3 linked regions of the Rhinolophus ferrumequinum genome follow. The protein of the gene in region 2 binds, or shares a complex with, the protein of the main gene of each other region. Links are inferred from orthologs where the notes say so. Each region holds a gene or a part of one and is shown on either strand. Other genes may lie near its edges. The genes, in order: POLR3E, POLR3C and POLR3G.

The links.
Region 1: POLR3C (region 2) and POLR3E share a complex: the UniProt entries of both Homo sapiens proteins name them as parts of the RNA polymerase III complex. The link is inferred for Rhinolophus ferrumequinum from reciprocal best matches to the Homo sapiens genes POLR3C and POLR3E.
Region 3: POLR3C (region 2) and POLR3G share a complex: the UniProt entries of both Homo sapiens proteins name them as parts of the RNA polymerase III complex. The link is inferred for Rhinolophus ferrumequinum from reciprocal best matches to the Homo sapiens genes POLR3C and POLR3G.

What each region holds. Positions count from the first base shown.
Region 1 is NW_022680357.1:16,770,057-16,778,055, reverse strand, and holds the start of POLR3E (DNA-directed RNA polymerase III subunit RPC5), read right to left. Parts: upstream 3,515-7,999; 5' UTR 3,381-3,514; intron 2,081-3,380; 5' UTR 1,876-2,080; intron 1-1,875. UniProt on the Homo sapiens protein: DNA-dependent RNA polymerase catalyzes the transcription of DNA into RNA using the four ribonucleoside triphosphates as substrates.
Region 2 is NC_046305.1:50,081,205-50,088,699, reverse strand, and holds the start of POLR3C (DNA-directed RNA polymerase III subunit RPC3), read right to left. Parts: upstream 3,514-7,495; 5' UTR 3,362-3,513; intron 3,272-3,361; exon of another isoform or gene 3,096-3,271; intron 2,349-3,095; 5' UTR 2,329-2,348; coding exon 2,182-2,328; intron 1,695-2,181; coding exon 1,439-1,694; intron 1,330-1,438; coding exon 1,144-1,329; intron 67-1,143; coding exon 1-66. Other genes in the region: E3 ubiquitin-protein ligase RNF115, read left to right, coding at 3,832-3,933. UniProt on the Homo sapiens protein: DNA-dependent RNA polymerase catalyzes the transcription of DNA into RNA using the four ribonucleoside triphosphates as substrates.
Region 3 is NC_046290.1:59,272,328-59,280,040, reverse strand, and holds the start of POLR3G (DNA-directed RNA polymerase III subunit RPC7), read right to left. Parts: upstream 3,566-7,713; 5' UTR 3,445-3,565; intron 1-3,444. Other genes in the region: acyl-coenzyme A thioesterase MBLAC2, read left to right, coding at 4,171-4,624. UniProt on the Homo sapiens protein: DNA-dependent RNA polymerase catalyzes the transcription of DNA into RNA using the four ribonucleoside triphosphates as substrates.

The sequences.
Region 1 (7,999 bases), on a different chromosome or scaffold from region 2:
AGCGACATTCAGGAGATGGAAGACTGGGTGAAAACCAGAAGCCCCCAACTGACAGCGGCAGGTGCCTCCTAAGGCCCAGAGGCAATGGACGGGGCAGCCCAAGACCCCTGCCCATCTGCACTGGCTGCCAAGCTGGCTGCCAAGCACCTATCTTCCCTGCAGGGGGCTGGTGGACAGCTGAGCTCGGGGACTTCCAGGGAGAAGGGATCAGAGTCAGTGTACTGACGGGGGGGCCTGGAGGGTCCCAATCACAGGCTTTCCCGGCCATTGGTGGGCTCCGGTGACCTGTCCCGAGTCAGGGAGGATGAAGTCCCCTTGGGGCGGAGCTCCTCCCCGGACAGGACCCTGACTGGTCAGTGCTGGCGTTATCACCAACCTTCACCCTCCTACCCAACACCCCCCACTCGCTGGCTCGCAAGGTTTTCAGCCTAAGTAAGGCCCCAGTAAGAAACCATCTCACAGAAACGGCCCAGAACATACGTACAATTACGTCCCTACAACAAGGGCTCACAGCCGTAACTGTCCTACCATGTTTCCCCAAAAATAAGATCTACCCAGAAAAGAAGGCCTAGCATGATTTTTCAGGATGATGTCCCCTAAACACAAGCCCTAAAGCGTCTTTTGGAGCAGAAATTAATATCATGTTTCCCCGAAAACAAGACCTAGCCGGACAATCAGCTCTAATGCGTCTTTTGCAGCAAACATTAATGTAAGACATAAGAGCGGGTCTTATATTAGGTCTTCTTTTCGGGGAAACACAGTGCTCTAAGTGATACAGTGATGGTTTCTACCCTTGCTCATGAAAATGAAAAGTGCTGGTTAATGTCCCCCTAAGTTGATTTCTCATCCCACAATTTGAAATAAATCTTCACCCACAATTTGGAAAGTACTGCTCTAGCAAGTCTTCCTGTGGTCTCTCTTTCCTACCTCCAGTCCTTCCAGAAACAGTCAGAGTTGTCCTGATAAAAGGGTAAATCACATCGTCTCCCTGCTCAAAACCCGTCGGCTGTCACACAGACTAAAACCCAAATGCCCTCCCAAGGCCCTAGGGGATCTTGCCCCTGCCTCTCCCTCATCACCCACCTAGGCAGGTGGGCCTCCTGCTGGGCCTGCAAGCCCAGCCTGCCTCAGGACCTTTGCACATCACCTCTGCTCCCCGGGTCTTTTCAGGCTGGCTCCTTTTCATGATGTCACCACTACCCCCACCCACACACAGGTTTCCTGACCACCCCATCTTAAAGCATCTGCACCCCAATCCCCGCCCCAGTCACTACCACATCTCCCTGCTCTGTTCCCTTCATGGTTCTTCTCACCATTGGAGCTACCGCGTCTATTTGCATATGTATCAGTCTTCTGCACTAGACTGTGAGCTGCAGGAGGGCCTCTCCACGCTCCCACCGGAAAGTGGGGAGAGTCACACTTACTTCAAGTTGTCAGGGGGTCATTCTCTCTCTTGAAATTCACCGTTATTCCAACACCTAGAACAGGGCTTGGCATGAAGGGTGCTCAGTGAAGTTCAAACAACCGAGTAAACGAATGGATGGAAGCAGGCAGTCACAAAGCCTCAACCCAGTGGGCCTAACTCCGCCCCAAGCAGAGAGGGGTGGCCTCCTGGACCCTTGAGAACAGCCAGGGACTGGCCACCCAGCCACAAGCCAAGCACCCCCGCCAGACCCAACCACCTGGGCCTCCGCAGGGTGTCCTGTGGCCACAAGGGGACTCGGTGACAGAGGCTCTGTGGCCTTGGACACAAGATACTTCCCTCCGCAGAGAGCTGCTCAACAAATGGACACCAGATGGAGCTAAGAGGGGTCCAGAGCAGAGGTACCTGAAGGCCACAATGGGGGGCATCTGTGCTGCACCCAGGAGTCTAACCTGTCGGCCAATCAGAGAGCAGCGGCAACTCCAAAAGCTGGTGAGGGAGGGAGAGGTCTGCGAGGACAAAACACAAAGGACTTGAGGGGACAGGGCCCCAGGACGAACAGTCTCAAGGCCTGGCTTCTAACTCGCTGTAGGCCCCTTGGACAAGGCAGCTCCCCTCTGCGTCACCCGATTCCACCTGTGTCATGGCAGAGTTGGCCTAGGGGACGAGAAGAACTAATTAAGCCTAAAGGAGGGTCGGTCGGACCCTTGTCTAGAGAGGACTTGGCATACGTTCTCACTGAACCTCCTCCAGAGCCCCCTAAGTCAAGACTGGCCACGATCACGGAGAGAGGACACGGGGGCTGGGAGCGTAAGTAGCTTGCCAAGGTCACGACACGGGGGAATGAATGACAGCAGCAGCACAGAACCCCGGGTCGAGCTAATGGCCAAGATCCTTCTTCTCATTCCTAACTGCTGTGCTGCACCCCGGCTCACAGAAGCGAGCTTGGCCTGGTGGGTAAGAGCCCAGACTCCCAAGCTGCGCGGCACAGGTTCAAGCCCCACGCGTGCCGCTCGCCGCCCGCGGCCCACCCGGACTTTCACCCTTTTCATCCTCCACATGGTGACACGTCCCGGCCCCCAGAGGCCGGTGATGAGAGTTAACTACCGTAATCGATGTGACCTGGGGCGGCCTGTGACCAGCAGGCAACCTGTTTTCCTTCCACGTAAAAGGGTCTGGGACCCAACCGCACACCGCACGCTGCAGGCTGGGGCCCCCCCACCCCCCGTGTCACCGTCCTCAGCCTTCACCACAGTCCAGGGAGGGAGAAAAGTCCGAGCCTGTTTCACAGGTGACGAAGCCGGAGCGACTGCTCAGACCTCCGCTTTCTGCCCCATCCCGACGACGCCCGAGCCAACCGCCCCGTCGGTGTTTACTGGTTTAACCCACCCGCTCACACCACTGACACCGGCCCGGCGGACCCGTCAGGAACGAACGCCGAGCGGGGGCCAGGGCGGCGGACGCGGAACGCCCGGACCGGGCCGCTGGGGATCAGCGGCGACGCCCGCAGGCTGGTATCGGCCGCCCCCGGCCACGCGGGGCGGGCCGCAGCGCGGACCCGCACCGTCCAGTGGGTTTCGCCTCCCCCACGCGCGGTCAGGCCCCTTCCTCACGCCCCGCCCCCGCAGCCACCACCACCGGCCGCCACGCTGGCCGGACACGGGCCTCCTCAGGACAGGTGTCCCCGCCGGAGGCCCGCCTGGGCCGAGCGGGGCAAGACGGCTGGATCCTGAGTCACCGCCCGAGGCCGCGGCCTCCCGGACACCGGGCCGACGTCGGAGTGCGCGTCCGGCCTGGGTCTCCCGGCGCCGGCTGCCTGTCCCTCCCGCACGAGTGCGGGTGGCCACAGCCCCCGGGCACAGCGCGGGCCTCCCGGCCTACTCCGCAGCACAGCCCCGGCCCAGCTCGCGCGTGTGGCCCGGCTCAGGCCCGGCGAGCGCTGCCACCGCGAACTCACCTCTCCGCGGCGGCCACGCGCGGGCGGCGGCAACGGCCTAGGTCCCCGCGGGCTGCACAAGCGGCGGCGGCTGGGCTCTCTGCTCAGGCAGCGGCCATGTTGCCAGTGGAGAAACTCCAGCGGACACGTGGGAGGAGCACGCCCGGCCGCACGCTTCCTTTTACCCACAATGCCCCGCCCCGGCGCCGCGCGGGCCCGCCCCCTGCGTCGCTCCATTCACGCCGGCCGCTAGCTCCGCGGGCAGCAGGGGGCGCTGGTGCACCTGCAAAACAGAGCGGAGAAGAACGTGGCATGAAGGCCCCAGGGGCAAAAGGGTGATCCTGGCAGCGGTGGGATTCGAACCCACGCCCCCGAAGAGACTGGAGCCTTAATCCAGCGCCTTAGACCGCTCGGCCACGCTACCTGTGTGATGCCTCCTTTTTCCAGAGAGCTATTTAACATCTTTACAAGCGATTGTAACGCCACGTTACTAGTTTAATATGTGGTTTTTTTTGCTCGTGATGAAAGTATTTAGAATACATGTAGTTAAAAGAAAATATTTGCTCTGCTATTTAGGCCCAGACTTGTTCCTGATAGGTTTTAAAGTGCAAAGCAGTTTAAGAGCTTGTATTGAGTCGGGCGTTTAACCAGGAGAGTTTAGGTTAACCCACGCGACTCGGGTTAGGAATCTCAGGGAGAAATGATGGGTTCCGGCAGTAACCCGCACCAGGGGCTTCGAAGGCTACCCCAGGGGAGCTGGGCACAAATAATACGTGAATTATTGCAAGATATTAAAACCTCTGACCCCATCCTAAGATGTAACCTCCGCAGATGTAACCATTGTCATCAGCTTAGTATACAGCCTTTGTATTTTTTGCTGTGAATTTATTTGGATATATTCATACAGATATAGGTATCTGTAGAAAAGAGATGTTTTGTTTTTAGTGAACATGGGTTTTTACATAAATATTATCATACTATTGGTATTGATATGCACTGGATTTTTTTCACCCAACTGTATTTTTGAAACATCTATCCATGTTGATGTATACAGGTGTTTAAAAACACAGAAAAAGTACAAAGGAAAAAATAACCATCCATATTCCCACCCTCTTAATATTATGGTATTTCACTTCCAATTCTTACCCTTTGTATACACTTTTATTACGCAGGGAATGGTATGAATATGTTGTCCTTTTAAAAATCCATTAAAAATTATATTACACCATTAGAAATAAAAATAAAGCCCCCTCCCAAACATTCTGCCCTGTTGTAACTATTGTCATGAATTTGATGTGTATCCTTCCAATCCACTTCTGACACTTCCATGTCTATATAAATATTTGGGTGTGTGTGTGTCTGTCTGTGTGTGTGTATATACCCATGAACAATGTATAGTACAGTCTTCTATTATGTTTTTCATTTATGTAAACATTACTACTGTGTACCAGTATCATTCTGCAACTTGTTTTACTCCAACATTATGTTTTTTAGGTCTATTATGGCACATATAGATCTAATCTGTTCCATACTATGAATATGGTCATTTTAAGTTGTTTATATTGTTATATTCAAGTTTCTGGTTAATATCCAGTTGGCACACAAGTTAACATTTGTGCACACGACTTAACATTCCATATTTCTACTCTTCAAGTCTACTTTAACCTGGTTTTATTTCTCCATTTACTTTTAACATAAGTGTTGCTATGCAAAGATTTCATTGCTCTAGGAGAGTTTGTTGTTTTTAAAGGCATTTTTTTAAAAATACAGAAGTAGCCGTTTATTGGGGATACAGGCTGGGCATTGTGGGGGGTTTAAAGCTAAATGAGGGATCGTCCCTGAGATCAATCGAAGCACTGATTTAGTCATGAGGCTGTAGAGCCAGGAAGGACTGTATTTGTGAGTTGTGTGCTGGGTTTTCCAAACGGAAAAGTTCCCATAGTGCAGGATAAGGGGTCTCTGCGTAATGCCACTTTTCTAGGAATTGCCTGATCAGCCCAGAGAGTGGGTCCCTGGCACCCACCTTTGTGCCGTGCATCCCTGCCCCACACCCCGGTCAGTGGGTTCCATGGGAACAGGCAACTCAGGTTGGACCACACAGATTCTCTTTTGAGAATCTGAATTGGGACAGGGTGAGTTCCTGATTTGTTCATTTGACTGTTTTCAGAGTTGGAGTTAGTCTCTGAGACTGAGTGGGACTAGGGAGAAAGGTGTACGTGGGGTGGCCAGTCTGTGAGGTGGATCGGAGGAGAGAAACACCAGTGCGTGGGAAAAGACAGAACAACGAAATGAAAAGAGCAGAGTCATAGAGAAGTCCTGCTTTTCTGGCTTCCAGCTCAGGACCCTTCCCAGGACCCAGTGGGATTCACGTTCCCGGAGGCAACCCTGTATCGTTGTAATAAAGCCCTTTTCTGCTAAAGCTGGTGCTACCTGGTAGCTGTCAGTTGTAACCAATAAACCTCACCCTCACATGGTAAGGAATCAAATGATGCTAGAGATATTTCTGCCAGAGCATTCTGTAGCAATTCAGGTCTGTCCCTACAGTACATGCTGAATGGGATACTTAAGGGAGTTTCTTGCAGTCTGGCAGCCCCATCACACAGCTGTCTGGTGACCATCAGAGGTGGGATTGAAGTGGAATGTTGCATCAGAACTCCTGGACCCACAGGGTCCCAGGAGCTCTAGGTAAGGGGAGGGAGGGAAGGGCTGAACCCTGGACTATCCCTTGGTGCGTTTACTTCCCTGTCCCTGACTAATGGGGCAGGTGGAGGGGAGAAAGGCTAGCACCCCAGATCAAACACTGCCCACTTGTCCCCCTCTGCCAATCTAGGGGCTGTCAGATGAAGGGTGTCTGTGTCTGTCTCTGTATCGTAAGCCCTTAGCAGTGGTCAGTGACGAAGGCAAGGAGGCTCAGTCTGAACCCCCTCCACACTTCACTCCCTTGCACCTGTCCAAGGAAAATCATTGCAAACCTGGTCTGAGACCAAACCTTCTTGCCACATGAATCTTCTTCTGGAAAGAAATGAACATTCCTAATAAAAATGCTTAAGCATTTTTCTTATGAAATCACTAGTATTGAGATTTGTGCTGGGAAATGCGTTCTCTACCCACCCAGTTGACGGGTCATTTGTCAGTGACCTTAAACCAAACATTCTTTTCTTTTCCTTTAGATTGTTCTAATCTGTCACCTTCTGCTTCCTAGATCTCCTCCACACTTGCCCTGGTACCTCTGCTTCTGAGGTCTGATTCTTTCAGTTTTACCTTCCATTCTGTAGACCACTCCCTTCCCCCCAAATTGCTTCTTTGCTAAAGCTAACCAGCTTTGATTTCTGTTACCTGCAACCAAGAAATCGACGTGACCACCTAGGCCTCCCCCAAAGGAACTTTGTCCCTTTAGTTGTGAACAGAGCACTGATACCCTTACCACGGTGACCATGGCACTTTTTTTCTGAAACAAATGTTTAATTCACGGGCATGAATCAGAACTCCCTGGTAAACTGGGACATGCGTTCATCTTACACCTTGCCCACTCAAAGCTCCATCTGACAGACCTGAATGAGATTTCCTGTGTTGAGTCAGATCAAACTGCAGGTTCCATGACTGGTGGCACCCTTCCATCAATTCCTGGGAAGTTCAGCCTTGGAAATACTTCTGGTGTCTTGGGAAGATGCTGCTAGGTCATGGGAATCAAGCATCAGTCGGCACTGTTTATGTTGGGACTACGATGACATCTGATCTTTGAACCTCTTTCTTTCTTGATCAATCAAAACATTCCTGGCAAATGCTTTCCCCATATGACCCTTTTAAGCCTCCTTTTTTTCATCTGTGAAATGGTCACAATACTGAGGTTTGTCGCCGGGTTAGAGATAACTGTATATACCCAGCCCAATGTCTGACATACATCATTGTTTCTAAGACACGTTTTCACATTTTAATATGTCGAAAATTGACCTACATCTTATGATCAATGTCATATAGTTTATTTTCAGTGTTTTTCTTATTAATTCATCAAATAATGGTGCATCTTAAGATCAAGGGTGTCTCAGATTCAATCAAACAGTAGATGCTCAATATATTAATTACTATAATGAATTTTTAATTTAGCGAAATTAGTATTTTTAACTTAGTAAATATTTTAAGTTCTTTAATTTGATAACGTTATCAAAGTTGTACATGAGTCCACTATCCATCCTACAAGGCTTATTATCAAAATTAGCAGTATGCCTACCCCTCTAGCCCCAGGCAAGCACTTCCAACTTCTGGCAGATTCTTCTGGTATGATATTTCTCTCCATAGGTCTAAACAATATGCTTATATTCCTGCTTTTTTCCCCTATCAGTTTTAGGCATTCTCTGTTGACTTCCTACTAATGAGGACAAGAATTTAACTCTAGCCACCTCCACCACCACAAACACTCCCCTTACTCCAACACCCCTAACAGTCATACTGTAATTTCATTTGAGCCATAATTAGCAAATGCTATTCACTAAGCTTGAGCTTAACTATACCCGCAACTATAACCGTTCTTCCTTTTCTGGAGAATATTGTTTATTGTTCATAATTGCCTTCTTAAAAAAAAAAAAAGCTTACCTAGTTTCTATGAATTCATCCCTAATTCACCTTCTAATTGTGGACACACA
Region 2 (7,495 bases):
TTGGTCTCTTGGCCTTGGGCTCCCCTGTAGCATCCTCCTCAGATGATCTCCTCCTTTTACCTTTCCCTGCCAAATAAAATAGTTGAACAGTTAGGCCACATCTCCGAGGATGACAGGAAATGACCAAACATGAGAGCCGGTGTCTCTCCATCCCGAGGACATCTGTAGCTGGCTCTAGGTGTGAGTTGCTGAGGCGGAGTAGCTAAAAGAGAGTCAAGTAAAGGATGAAGTCATCTGAAACGCTACATGCTCTAAAAGAAATTCATACTCTTTTTCCCTCAAACTGTTCCTGCTCCAGTGTTTCCTTTCACAGTGAGTGGTACCATCATCCTGCCACGTGTCCAAGTCAGACACACTGACGTCGTTCTTGATACCTCTGTCTCCCTCACCCCTTCTAGATCTAATTTTTCACTGGTTTGTCTAGATTTACCTTTGCCCTATCCTTTCTGCATACAGAATGCAAATTAGATTATGTCACTTCCCCACTTAAAATCCTTTCATGGTTTTCCTCTGCTCTTAGGATAAAGAACAGATAGTCTATGAGGTCTTGCATGTCTAACCCCTGCCTATATCTCTAACCTTATCTCACGGTTCGCTTTCCTTTGTTCACCATGCGTTAATTAACTTACCTGCTTTTGCTTCCTCAAATACCCTATTCTTTTCTCAGTATACTGTTCCTTTTGCCAAAAATGTTTATCTTCTGTACCCCTTCATACCTTACCTCACTGGTTGGCTTCTACTTCCTGCTTCAAATCTGAGCTTAAATGCCACTTTTTCAAAGGAGCATGTGCCCCAAGTCCCGAAGTAAGTCCAGTCCCCTGTTATATATTTGCATAACACTTCATGCTTTTCCTTCACAGTATTTATCACAGTTTGTTAGTTATGCATCTATATGGTTATTTGATTAATGTAAGTTGCATACAGTAGACTTACGCCCTGAAAGGGTAGGGACCCTGATGGTTTTTCATCATTTTAGACCAAAGTATCTGGCACAGAGTAATTGCTCGATTCATTTAGTCACTCACTCATTCAACAATCACTAAGAAAGTATTTGCTCGATTCCTTCATTCATTCATTTAACAATCATTGAGAAAGAATCTACAATTAAGGCAAGTCACAAGTCCAGGGGTTCAAATTCCTTACCTATCAAGCTCAGTTTAGGAACCAGGTACATGTCCTTTTCATTGATGACAAGAGTGGGGGCAGGTGGTGGTGGCCCAGCGTCTGAATTCTCAGCGGCAGGCACCAAAGGGCAACGCTGTACAAAATGTGTGTCTGCTAGTCGCACAAATGTGTTTGCTACCTCAGCGTAGTCCATGGTCTTGCCGTCTGTACAACAGGAGGAAGAAGCAGGTGAGAGGGCTGAAGATAGCTGAGGGTCCGCTCCTGCAGCCAGCTAATGTATGCTTTTGCTAACAGCTATGGATACAGTACTAACCCTCCATAGTCTCTGTGAGCCGGTCTGCCACTTTCTTCACGACAGCTGACATTGTCATTTTGCCATTCAGCAGCAGCTCCTCAACAATCAGCTCTCCAGTGTCATTATACAGTGTTTTGGCAGTATAGATATAGCGGGGGTACCTGAGGATTCTCAACACCCGGCTGCACTGGGCTTCATACTCCACTACACCGCGTTTATGTACTTGATATATCACCAGGTTATGTTGGATGAGGACACAAAGGGCTTTTTTTACCTAGATAAGACCCAAAAGAAAGAGGGAAAAGATCTGGAGACAGCTCGTTATTGTTGGCAATTTTTGTTCAACAGTGTACTAAGCATCAGGAGAGGACCAGATAATTTCTGCGCTTTCTTCCCTCCGTTGGAATAGCTAATAAAAATCACATGTCAATGGAAGAAACCAGGAAGATTCCTTGTTGTGATGCTCATACTTTGATCTGTATCGTTCAAAGGACAATTAATTTCTCCTCTATTATTCTCATTCCTTAAAAGCATTACTGAGATTAATAGGCTCAACGTCAGTAAATGAGATATGGCAAAGGAAGAGCAAAGATTTGCCTAAGAGCCACGAGGAGCCAGGATCCTTTGCCCCCAAATAACACTGGTCTGATCCGAGAGCAGGATTTCCCCCTTTCCATTTCGTGAGGTAGGGAGTAACAATATTCAAAGGTAGGTAACAGAAATTAATGAAATGAAAGCAAATTAATATCATCCAAACATACCTGATCCAGGGATGTTCCTGTGTCATGGGCAATTACTCTTAGTGGCTGGCTGCCAGTTCTGATGAGGTGGACTCCAATTTTTTCCACAATCTCTCCAAAATGCTCTTGCAACAACAAAGAGCACAGTTTAATTTCTGCTTGAGTCATTGTACTGAGGGGACTCGGAGCTAGGAAGAAATAAAAAAGACTATATGATGGGAAGTTTTTATGTTGGGAGTAGAGCTGCTGAGTATAAATTCATGGACTTTCTGGAGGGCAATCTGACATTACATATCAAAAGCCTTTGACCTAATAACTTTGTTTTGGATACTCTGCTCTAAGGAAATCATAAAAGGATATCACTGTAGTTCTCTTTAGAATACTGCTATACTGGAAACAACCTAATGATTAACAATAAGAAATCAATTCAATAAATTATGGTATACCCACACAATGGAATACTACTTCAACATTTAAAATGATGTATAATATATACTAGCGTCGAAAATTGTTCATTAAGTGAAAGAAGCAGACTACAACCCAAAATATAGAGAAATATTCAATAATAAAAAGTCATGTATGCATATCAAGACTGGAAGACTATACATCACATTGATCTTTATGGGATTGTGTGTAATTCTAATTTTCTTTAAAGATAGGATTAGATGGTTTTGCAATGTCACAGACTTTATTTAGATTCTATACTTCGTTGTTTGGAAGAATTAAGACCACAGCCCATTGGGAGTGAACAGGCAGTGTCATTCCCAGTCTATAAAGGAAATGACAACTTAGAAGAGATTAAGAGGTAAAGGAGAGCTTCGCAACACGGTGTTTCAAATAGGAAATGGGGTATGTTGTCTTCAGGGCCATAGTCTGAAATTTCTACTTCTTGACAAAGTAGATACAGAAATAGACGTAGTTGACTATATAATTACTTTCTTATTATCCCAAGTGCTACCAAACATTAGTGCGTTCATTTATTTCTCCCAATTCCTCAGAAGCAAGTCTTTGCCTCTCGGCCTCAGTATCCCCGTCCACACGTCTCTGCGGAAGCATCCCCACACCCTTTGCCATCCTCGCAAAGGATTTGCAAGGATCTTGGCTCCTGGCTCTTTACTCCCTTCACGCAGGTTCCCGTTCGGGGCTTGGTGCCTCGGTCCAGAGAGCCGGCCGCCTCGTTCAGGCAGCATTTTCCACTAACCTCTGGGTCAAGGCAATCTAACGCCGCCGAGTTCCCTGCGGCGACTTCGCGCGGCTCCCGCTACCGCTATGGCAGGGGGAGCCCTCGGCCCTTTCTCGCAGGAGGACCGGCACCGCGGAGGACCCGGAAAGGGGTAAAACCTGGGCCGCTCTACCCCAGAGTCTCAGTGGTTTCTGGAGACGCTCTTTCTCTCTTCTCGCTGGTAGGTTGGAGGACAGGCGAAAGGCTGTCGGAGGAGCCGGCGGGCGGACTCTCCTTCCTGTGCCTCTTTAGTGCTGGAGGCGGGCCTTGGGGTCGCAGTCCGCGCCGACGCCCCGCCGCCTCACGTGACTGACCTGGGCGCTGGAGCTGCCGGCCAGAGTGAGGAAGCGGCGACCGAGGCGGCAGCGGAATCGACTGCACCCGGGAGGTAGCGGCCTGGCGAGGGACGGGCCGGCTGCCCTCTCGGACCGCCGCGGCGGAAGAGAAAAATGGCGGAGGCCTCGGCGGCCGGGGCGGGCTCAGGCGCCACCGTCGCCGCGCATCGGTTTTTCTGCCACTTCTGCAAGGGCGAGGTCAGCCCCAAACTACCGGTAAGAGCCCAGTGTCCCCTGCGTTTGGCGTTGGCGTGGATTCCTCGCCCCGGAGTCCCGGAATGGGTCTTCAGCTCCCCTCTACACCCTTGAAATCGGTCTCCCAGATGCTGCTGCCCACTGTCTCTGGTCGCTGACCCCAGACCCCGGGCGTCCCGATCCTGGCTGCTCCTGAACTCCCGCCCCGCCTTTTATCCCCCCTCGGACGCTCCACCTGCCCCTCACGCCCTCTCCTTTCTTGACCTGCCCCCCTCCACCTTTTTTCTTCCTTAGCAAGTCCTCTCCCCTGACAACTCGCCTTACTTTCCTTGCACTCTTCCTCACCTTGTGTCCTTCCCACAGTGACCTCGCCCCTGTCGAGACTCTTTCTGCTGCTGCAGCTTCTCGCCTTCCTCTGTTTCCTTTTCCCCTTTGCCTCCCCCCACACCCTACCCTTAATGAAGCCAAATAGCGGATCGATGAGGATGGCCTCTATTCGGTTGTCTCTAGGGAATGAAGCACGGGAAGAAGAGGGTTGGAAGGTAACTGGGGCGGAGGGGGATTTCGCTCTTCAGTGGTTTCCAGCGTTGTTGTGAAAGTGAAAACAGCAGTGTACTAACGACTCGCAGACTGTCCTCCCTCTCACTATTGAAGGAAATGGCTTTAGGAAGAAGGCAGGACATGTTGTTTCAACTTGGGTATTGTCGTTGTTGGCCTGCCAGGGTCTTGAGCACCACCCACCTGCCCCGCCCCTGTCCCATTCTGTCTCTTCGTGAAAAGATCCAGGACAGAATGCTGGGGACCGCGTCCTCTGACATAAATTGGTTTTCACCCGTTTCTGCCAGACGGTCAGTGCGTCCCTAGAGCGGTAGTGAAGACAGCGCTTCTGCAGCGTGCTGGCCAACCCCAGAAGCTGTTTGGGTTGGGTCCTAGTTTCTTCAGGGAGACACACCTGGGTGAATAGTAATCTCTTGGCCACCCATCTTTGGAATTAGTTAGGGTTCTTTTCCTTGGAAGTATCCAGGTTCAGTCTTAAGCCAGGGTGTCTCCCTAACAACTTAATTCTATAGTGTCTCTGATACAACCTATGAGAAAGCCTACTGAATTAAAGTATGTCTGTGTCTTATTTCTTGGACACACGAATGGAGTCCTGTGAATAAGCTCCTAAAGGGATTTTAACCTTTTCACCTAAAAGTTGTACTTTTTTTTTTTTAAAGGCTTTTATGGCATTTTCTTTCCTTTCTGTTTGCCCCAACTTCATAGATTCATCTTGTGAAACACAAAATTTGAACTTCATTGGCCTAGGTCTCAAGTCTTTGTAATGGAAAGGGTTTATTAGGCTATTGCCAGGCAAAAGAAAAGACTGTCTTGGGGCATCGAGTCTAAACCACCAGCTTGGTAGGAAAGAAGACATGTCCATCACCTGCGGAGTTTGCAAGTGTTTTTTGTTTTGTTTTTGTACATCAGGTAGCAGGAAGGGGGAAGAAAGGTGTAAACTGTCTGAGAGAATTTACATTCCATTAGCTATAGGCAAGGGGTGGGAAGTGGGGCCAGCTCTGGGATAGGCTCAGAGTCCACAAGAAGAAATGTCCCCTCCTGTGGATTGGCTGTGGGCAGCAGTCCGGAAAGCCCACGTGTAAACAAGAAGCGGAGGCTCCTGGAGGTCAGTGGTGCTTGGCTGGAATAATCTGCGGAAATAGCCACCTGGAAATTAATCCGAAATTCCTTCAGGCAATGGAAGGAATGTGAGCAATCTTTTGTCAGAGCTGGTCCACAGCTATTAACAGGCTAACTGTTCTGTCTGTCACTCTGGCCTCTGTAATTTTAATTTAAAACATCGCAGAATTTTCTTCTTGTCAGTGTACTTGTTACTTAGTTTGCTTGCGGATTTGTGTGTGCATGCACCTGTGCTTTGTGCCATGTTTCAGTGCGGGGAAGAGCAGGTGCCTTGTTTTTTTCCCAGGGGACATCAGAGCCCCCAGAAATCTCGCTGTCAACAAAGATGGAGCCTGGGATTTGTCCAGTATGTGTGTGACCAGTGACATGTTGAATGTGATGCTTTGTTGAACATCGTGACCTTAGTTCTTTCTTCTGGTCTTTTTAATCGTTGTTTACTTATTTGCCTTTAAGAGCTAGAAAACAGTCTAATTTTCCGCAACTTTTTTTATTTTTTAAAATCACCTGAAGGCCTCACTGTAAAGTGCTCTTGAAAAGTGATAATTTGAAAGACGGCAGGTGTTTTTCTAAATCTTAGTTTGATGCCCAGAGGTGAAGTTATTGATCTTTTTAGTCTGATTTATTATCTCTGATGCCAGGTTTGTAAATTGAGGCCTAACACAATTGAATTTAACAGGACTACTTCTGCATACCACAAGGTTCTAGGTTCTCTGCTAGATGTCCTCAAGGCAGTACCTAGGACTATGTGTGGTTCCTGCCCTTAGGGACCTCAAAAAGACAAGACTAACTGGAATAGTTAACAATAGTAGGTGAATGGGGATAGATAAGAAGTGCTTTAGAATTCATTCCTGCCCTTAGGGACCTCAGAAAGACTAGACAAACTGGAATAGTTAACAATATAAGGTGAATGGGGATAGGTAAGAAGTGCTTTAGAATTCAGAGGGAGGGAGATCCCGGATGATAGCATTGGCGAGGCCAAAGAAAGAGTGAGAGATGGGTTTTAAATTGAGTTCTGCAGGCTAGGTAGAATTCCGATTGCGGAGAATAGCATAGACTAAGGGAGGAAAGGAAGAGTGAGTTGAGGGAGAAGAGAGAAACATTTAGGAAGTCACTGTTACACATTTTTAAGAAAAGGTGCAGTGATGTCAGAGGTAGAGTTTTGATGCGCAGATCAGCCAGTGAGCTTCATCTTGTTTCATGACCGTTTCTATCTCCTGAACCCAGACTGTCATCTGGAAAATGTTGGTTGGAAGAATGACAGGTCAGTAAGTGGCTGATTCAGTACGAATCTGTCTCTGTTGCTAGCTAAACGCTAACTCAAACACTGTTAAGTCAGTAGTATGACTGTTCATATGTATAGGACACGCTGAAAAGATTTTTAAAATAATTTTTTGTATAAACTTGAGATTCCCTCGCTGTAAGGACTCAGCATATATTAGGCATGCATTGTTTCTTCAGTTGGATGAAAGTTTCGGGAAATCTGCATGTCTTTTTGAAGAGAGCTAGACCCAACTTAACACGAATAAAGTTTTTCTTTGTCTTGACTTATTTTGCATTTCAAGGGGGTACTTTTGTGCAAGTTGGATCACGGGAACCATCACCCATGAGTGCTGTCCTCTGAACACCTGAGGCTGAGTACTGAGTTTTACATCAGCTTTTAATGAGCTGTAGCTTCGTAGGTAAGTTTCTTCTCCCAATCAGTGGGAAAGACTGCGTCACAGCCATCTCACGTCTTGCCCGTTTATTCACTGCATAGCAGAGTCATAATTGTGTTAGTGGGACTAGGCTGCGAGGTTTTGACAACTTTTACTTTTCCCTTCTGCAGTCTCTAGGATACAGCTCTTCTTGATACATTTGGAAGTGTGTGTAGGCAATAGCAATAGCTTACCTAACGTTTGCCCTGAAA
Region 3 (7,713 bases), on a different chromosome or scaffold from region 2:
TTACACATCATGGCATTCTGGCCTACAAATCCATCTCTTTTTACTTCGCTTATCACGAGTCAGTTCTCCTATACCTGGAGAAGCTGCTAAATTCATTTTATTCTCTTGTAAAGCGGAGAAGCAGTCCTTTGACTCTGGTAACTGTATCATGGAAAGAAAGGCTCACAAGTGAGGCCTAAGTATCAGTCTTCGAAATCCTTTGTTGATTCAACAACTTCCTTGTTTCTTTTTCATCCTGCCAAACGTCTTGAATGAAGTGTTTTTAAAACCAGCTTTCCCCTTTTCTCATTGACCAAATCTTCCTACACTTCATATGGGCCAATTTCATTGAGTCACTTATCCATTCAACCAATATTGAGCATTCCAGGCACTGTGGTTAGCACCCAGACAGCATTGAACAAAACCAGGTCACTGCCCTCAGATCTTACATTCCAGTGGATGAAAGAACACACACAAATAAACCAATAAGTCTGTAACATAATATTATGTGCTCTTGTTGTGAGTTGCATTGTGCCCCTTCAAAAATATGTCAAAGTCCTAACTGCCAATAGCTGTATGTGACCTTCCTTATTTGGAAAAAGTCTTTGCATAAGTAATCGAATTAAGATGGAGTCATAGTGGATTAAGATGAGCCCTCTTCCAATCACTGGTATCCTTATAAAAGGGAAATCTGAATAGAAAGAGAGAAACACACAGTGAAAACACCATGTGAAGATGGAGGCAGAGATTAGAGTGCTGCAGCTGCAAGCCTGGAACACCAAAGAGTGCCAGGAACCACCAAAAGCTAGGAGAGAAGTATAGAACAGCATCTCCCACAGAGCCTCCAAAAGGAACACACCTGCTGACATCTTGATTTCAGACTTCTGGCTTCTAGAAGCGTAAGAATTAATTTCTGTTGTTTTAAGCCATCCGATTTGTGGTAACATGTTAGGGCAGCTCTAGGAAATCAATACAGCTATGGAAAGAAAACAAATCATGGTAAAGGGATAACAAAGGAGTATGGTAGTGGCTTTTGCATAAAAGAAAGGTCTTTTTGTGGAGGATAAATCTGAGCACTGTGCTGGAGTAAGCCTGGGAGCCGTAAGATGGATGGATGGGGTGGAGATGATTACAGAGAGAAGCAACAGCAAGTGCAGAGGAGGAAGCCACAGCTCTGGGAGTGTCTGAAGAACAAGAAGCCCATGTAGCTGGTGAGGAGTGGGGAGAGGCTGGTCAAGGTCAGAGCTTGTGGAGCCCTGTGGGAGCTGTGGTAAAGGGTTTGGCTTTTATCTTACTTATGATGGGAACTGCACTCACGGAGATTCAGAAATGCAAAGGTCACAATGGTCCTCATGGCAAAATCCACTGGCCTTTTGTCCTCATTCATGTTCTTGGACTTCTGAACTGCACATCTGATTACTGCCTTCTCTCTTTTGAAACTCTCTTTCCTAGGCTTTAATAAAACTCCAGTTCTCCTACCCCAATGAACACTTTTTTTGGTCTACTTCTCTTCTTAAACCCCCTAAGTATGGATATCCTTAAAGTCCGATCTTTGGTCTCCTGCTCTTCAGAAATGCACCCACTCTTGGGGTTTGATGACCTCTCCCTCTCCATTACCTCCAGCAATGACCTTTATCCAGAGTTTCAGCACATGCTCTTACTATCAGAAAAATATTTGGACAGTACCTTAAACTTAAAATATTGAGTTCATCTTCCCCCTACACTAACTAGCTTACCTTTCATATATAAGGTCCCTATTTCTACCCATGGTATGTTATTTTCCCAGACACCAACATGTGAACATTTGGAGTGACTCAGTACCGATTTCTCATTCTGTTCCACCCCTACTATCAAATCCATCATCTAATTCTTCCTTCAAAATGTCCCTTCCTTTCTATTTCTTCTACCATAATCCAGCTTAGCTCTTTCCCACCTCACTTTGATTAACTGCAAATTTTGTAATATCCCTTGTTCTTCCTGTTTGTTTTAATTTATTCTTCCAAAATATTCATCCTAAAGCATAATTCTGATTATATATTATTCTCCCTATTTTGCCTCTAGGCTAGAGAATTAAATCCAAACTCCCTATCCAAATATTCAGAGCCCTTTTAAGATGGCTGCACCTATCCTCCTGACTCATTCTTCTGTAATCATGTCCTGACCATGATTCTCTCCACTGCACCTACTCCCCTTCTGCCCTGCCTGGCTGCGCCCCTTTTTTAACCTTATAGATGCAGTTTAAGTTGCTCAACATCAGCAAGAGTCATTTCATCCCTCCTTGCTCTTGGTAAGATCCTCCTGTTAAAATAAATGGATTCTTAAAACTCCAGGTGATATGTATTACTACACTCATCAATTCTGGAACACAGGTATTCCCCTTTTGGGAAATAGGCCTTTTCCAAAAGGAAGAAGTTTCACTCGTTTGTCTCTTTCTTCGACTGTATTAATAGAAATTTTATATCCCCCACTGTCTTCCCTCAAATTCTTGAGAACCCAGATTATGATCTTTTTACACAATTCTGTTCTTTACACATCTAGCTCTAGGACTTGCACTAAGGGTAGCCCTGAACAGAGTGACTGGAAAAAGTCTAAGTTAGGAATATATTCAGAAAGGCTGCGTCCCCACCAAAAACTTTAGGAGCTTAGGGGAGGAGAGTACACATCTCCTTGTATGAAGGCTTACTAGTAAGCTGCCACAATAAGGGTTTTTCATAATTCTTTTATAATGCTGTCTCATGAGTCTATAAAATTTTTCCTGGCTGAGTAGGGAGGTTAGTCAAGTTCTCAAGGGGATTTCTGCAGCCTAAATGGTATTTCAATAGTTGAGAGGTGCGGAGTGGAGAAAGGGGCCTGGCTTTAATACTGAGGGTGATTTATGTGGCTGGCGGGCCACACCCAGTTATTATTCACTTTTTTTTTATTTTCACAAGGTGTGGCTGCCTCCACTTTTCTTAGTTGAGCCTATCAACTCTCTTTGCTCTCTTCCAAGAGCGGATAAACTTAAAAAAGGAGGGTGGAGAAAGAATATAGAATTTAATTTTTCAGAAGAGGAAAAAAACTTCATTGACAACCCCACTCTCCATGATACAGGATAAAGTGCCAACAATTACGAAAACATACAGAATAGTCTGTCCTTAGCTGCAAGCCTGCGGCAATGATTCATGCCTGAACCAATCGTATAGTCACCGGATTTGAAAATCTACCATCAATCAGTAAGAGCACTAATTCCTTTCTAACTCACTGCAAACAGTCCCAGGAAGTGGCGACTAGGTAAGATATGGAAACGATGATTTTAAAAGATTTTGAAGGGATTGGAAGGGGAGGTAAAGCTATCTCTCAACGCACCTCAACCGAGAAGCGCGTCAATGAATTTCCACCCGACTTCCCCCACCTTTCCATGTGCCCCTTTAATTCCCCTCTACCCTCTCCATCTCCTTCCCAGCCCTCAATTGCTTCCTCTGTTACCTGCTCACTAAGTCTCGGAGGCTTGGGCAAAACTGTGCAGCCGAAGCGCCGGCCGGCAAGGAAGGGGTGCGGACAGAACGCGCCGGCGCCCGGCGCAGTTTCCACCTCTGGAGAAGCGCGCTCCGCCCTCCCCGAGGCCTCGGAGCCCAATTCGGAACCCAACCAGTTAGCCCCGCCCACTTCCTAGCTAGGCCCCGCCCGCTGGGCGAAGAGCTTTTTATCCCTTGGCAGGCGCCGTAGCTGTCCAACCCGCAAGGTCTGACTCTGCGCGGGCTGGAAGTGCGCATAGCGGCGCACGGTGGGTGGGCGGATCTGGTGCCTTCTACGACTAGCTCCCGGCCTCTGCAGTTAGACGCCCCCAGGTTGGGGAAGGGTCGCCTTGTAGGTCTCCAGTGGTCCAAGCGTTAACGCCTTCCTGTGCTGCGGCTACAGAGGCTGCGATTCCTCCAGCGCCCGGGGGCGGGCAGAACAACCTCTGCTTTCTGCGGACCTGTCGTGGGAGTAAAGCGACCACGACAGGCAGTGTCTAGGTGCCTCCTTCCTCCTAATTCTACACCCCGCATCCCCCGCACCCCCTGCACCACCCGCATCCCCCTCCCCCTCCTTGCTCTGCGCCACCTCCCTGGCTGCCGGCAGACCGCTCCACGCCGCCGCAGCGCCCGGAGTCTGGACAGCCTGCGGGAGGCACACACGCCCACACTCACCCCTCCTGCACCTCTTCCCAGCATGTCGGCGCTCGAGTGGTACGCCCACAAGTCCCTGGGCGACGGCATCTTCTGGATTCAGGAACGCTTCTATGAGTCTGGCAACCGTGCCAACATCTGGCTGGTGCGCGGCTCCGAGCAGGACGTGGTGATCGACACGGGCCTGGGGCTGCGCAGCCTTCCGGAATACCTGTACTCCTCCGGCCTCTTGCAGGACGGCGGGGCCAAGGAGGACGCGGCGTGCCGGCCGCTGCTGGCGGTGGCCACCCACGTGCACTTCGACCACTCCGGTGGTCTCTACCAGTTCGACCGGGTGGCCGTGCACCACGCCGAGGCCGAGGCACTGGCTCGCGGGGACAACTTTGAGACCGTGACCTGGTTGTCCGATAGTGAGGTGGTACGGGCGCCCAGCCCCGGCTGGAGGGCCAGGCAATTCCGAGTGCAGGCGGTACAGCCCACCCTCATCCTGCAGGATGGTAATGGGCCCTCACGGGCGCGCGCTCTCTCATTACGGGAGGGGGTTGGGAAGAAACTGTCCGAGGGATGCATGTTGCAGATGTGCGTGGCTGTGAGGGGGCTTGTTTTGCTACATTTCAGAAACACCACTTTTGTTTCTACCTGCACTGACACTCGACCAGAGCCAAGGCCATCGCAGCCTTCCCTACCTGAGACTAGCTCTGGCACGGTGTAGCAAAGCTGAGTACTCGAATGAAAGCCGGCCCCACCCCCTTGTCCGTTTCCTCTGCGAGGTGTAGTAGTAACGCCGCAGAGACTCGTGACTAGGAATTTCCCGTTCTTTTCCCGTACACCTGTCAGACATTTCCAGGCGCTTTTCTAGAGAGAAGACTTTTAAGGAATGACGCCTCAAGGAGAGTGCATGTCATGCTCTCTGCTTTTGCGAATTGCTGACTTCATCTGCTCAGTGACCGCCGGCTATGAGCAATTCCCACCTGTAGGTTTAGAAAGCCATTAGAGAACAGTGGTTGCCATCTGCTCTTGCATCTTTATCTTCCAGATAGATTTCTGTTCTTGATGTTGCCTCACCAGAGAAAGAGCCAGGTAGGGTACATAAAAAGTAGAATATGTCTGAGTCTTACATTTTGATAGATATCTGGTCTGGTTGAAAGCAAGGCCTGGGAAAGATTAACACGGAGATTATTGCAGGTGATGGTTAAGTATGTGGACTAATGCATCGGTAGCCCTGGGCTTCTTAGACCCCATGTAACATAGAATAGGGTTCAGAGAGAAACTAATGGAACAAAATACGAGTAGGGCCCCTGTCCTCCGAACACTATGCAGGCACTTAAATAATTCAGCTAATTGGACAGAGAAGCAATATTTGTATATTAATTTCCTTTTTTCTTTTTAGAATACTTTCGTTGATTTCATTTTATTCTCTCAATATTTGAAGTGAGGTGGTTAATAATGACAAAAGCTAAGATTTGAACCAAGGCACAATATGTCAAAGCATGCAGATCATACAAAAATCCTACTGCATAACTATATTATGGTAATTCCAAGTAGGATGTGAAACCCCCTTTTCCCACTCTATCTTGAAACCATTTTAATTGCCAATTTAATTTATTAAAATATTCTTCGAAGAGGTAGCAAAATCCAGCTACTGCTATGTAATACTCTCACTTTATGACCAACCAATATGACAAATAATGAAATATTTTACGAAAATCAGTTTATCTTACAGGTGAGATTCTGATCACTTGAGATATAAAAAATATAAAGCAAGATTCTATATCTCACACCCTATCCAAAGTCTTTCCATTTAAAATTTAAATCTAAGGGTTAAAAAAAAACTGGTTGAGAGGGGAATCTTATATTACCTAACAATTTGAGAGGAAAAAAGTACATTTACATTAAATATACTTTTAATTACTGTATATCTTGATAGAACTGATACTTTTAGAGGTAAGATTTCCATGTAGTTGACGGGTATTCAGAATAAATATTTTCTGTCATTCCACAAGAAATGTTTACATTATTATTTAAAATATATTTAAATTGTCTACACGAATAAATTACTTTTTGGTTTATTTACTTTTTCTCTCTGCCAGCAATAGGAAATCAATGGTGAAACAGTGATAGGAATTGATGTTTCCTAGATGAACAGTCTAAGCAGGCCTCAATATCATACCTGAGATTACACTGCCACTTTGGGAAAGAGCTGGGAATAGAATCCAGGTTTCCAAAATCCAAGTTGCTGCTAGAATTATAGCCTTATAATTATAATTAAAGCATTTTGGAGCTGCAAGGGGCCTGCAAGCTACCTGTTTGGTGCTTTAAGCCTTTGAAGGTATGAAAAGAAAGCTTAATATTTACCAGACACTTTGAAGGTGATAATACTGTGTTAAATCAAAAGTTGTTTTTCACTGGGAACTGGATGCCTCACTCTGTCAAGGAGTATCTAATTTCCACTTTTCTCGAGAATATTAATTTTCTTATCATCTCTTCTGAATGGTGTGGTCTACTAACTTGCTATCATCATAATCCTGATGCCTGGAAGGAGATATAAGATATTTATATTAAAATTCATACACAGTCACACACACACACATCAGCAGCACATACCGAACAGCGTAGAAGCTTCATTGCTTTGGTTAGAACATGGAGGTTGAAGTCATTAAATTTCATTTAGGTGAATTGATGATTACCTGTGTTAGAGAAGCATAAATATATGCACTGTAACCCAAAAGATGACTTGTAAATGAGGGACAAAGAGGACAAGGAGAAATCATCACCCAATGCATCATCTTTGATGGAAAACAACTTGTCCTACTACCTGTGAAATAGTATCTTCCTCTAAGAAGATTGTGATAAACCTTAGATTGATAGAGCACATTCTTCTTGAATGGGCACACATTTTGCCTATTTTCACAATATTCAAGTGATATGAATGAAGTGCAGGCATTTTGGCTCCTATTAGGCATGTTTAAACAGTTTGCCCAGTGTCACCAATAGGATAAAGCAGTTGTTTCAGGTGGACTTGAATCATTTGGGGACATTAAAAAAAAAAAAAAAATAGATTCCAGAAAGGTAGCAAAATGAGCAAATATATCTAATTTGACTCCCTTCCAAAACCCCATTAAGACTACTGTAAAGGGACCGTGGTTTGTTCATTTTAAGTATAAATCCACATTGACTGACGAACTCTTTGGGATGCTGGGCAGGTGACAACTGAGTTAGCAGTTTTATCCTATTCCAGCAATGGGAAATCAAGAGCCAATCCAGTTTGCACTGCAGGAGCCTTAAAAGGAATTAGCAGTAGCAGGTACTTTAGTGGGGGCAAAGGGAATAGTACTACTAAAATAAGTAGTATGGGTTGAAAGCATTTAAGAAACTATTTAAACTCTAGAACCCTTCTTCCTAAGTTTATGACCATCCAGTTAGTTTGTTCTCTGGAGAATGTAAAACAGGTTTCTTGATTGAGAGATGCCAAGTGCTGTTGAGCTCAGGTCTTCAGAATGGAAAATAGGAGGAATAAGCGTGTGTATGTGTATTTTCAAAATGGAAAATAGGAGAAATAAGGAGGAATAAGTTGAGAGTATACAGA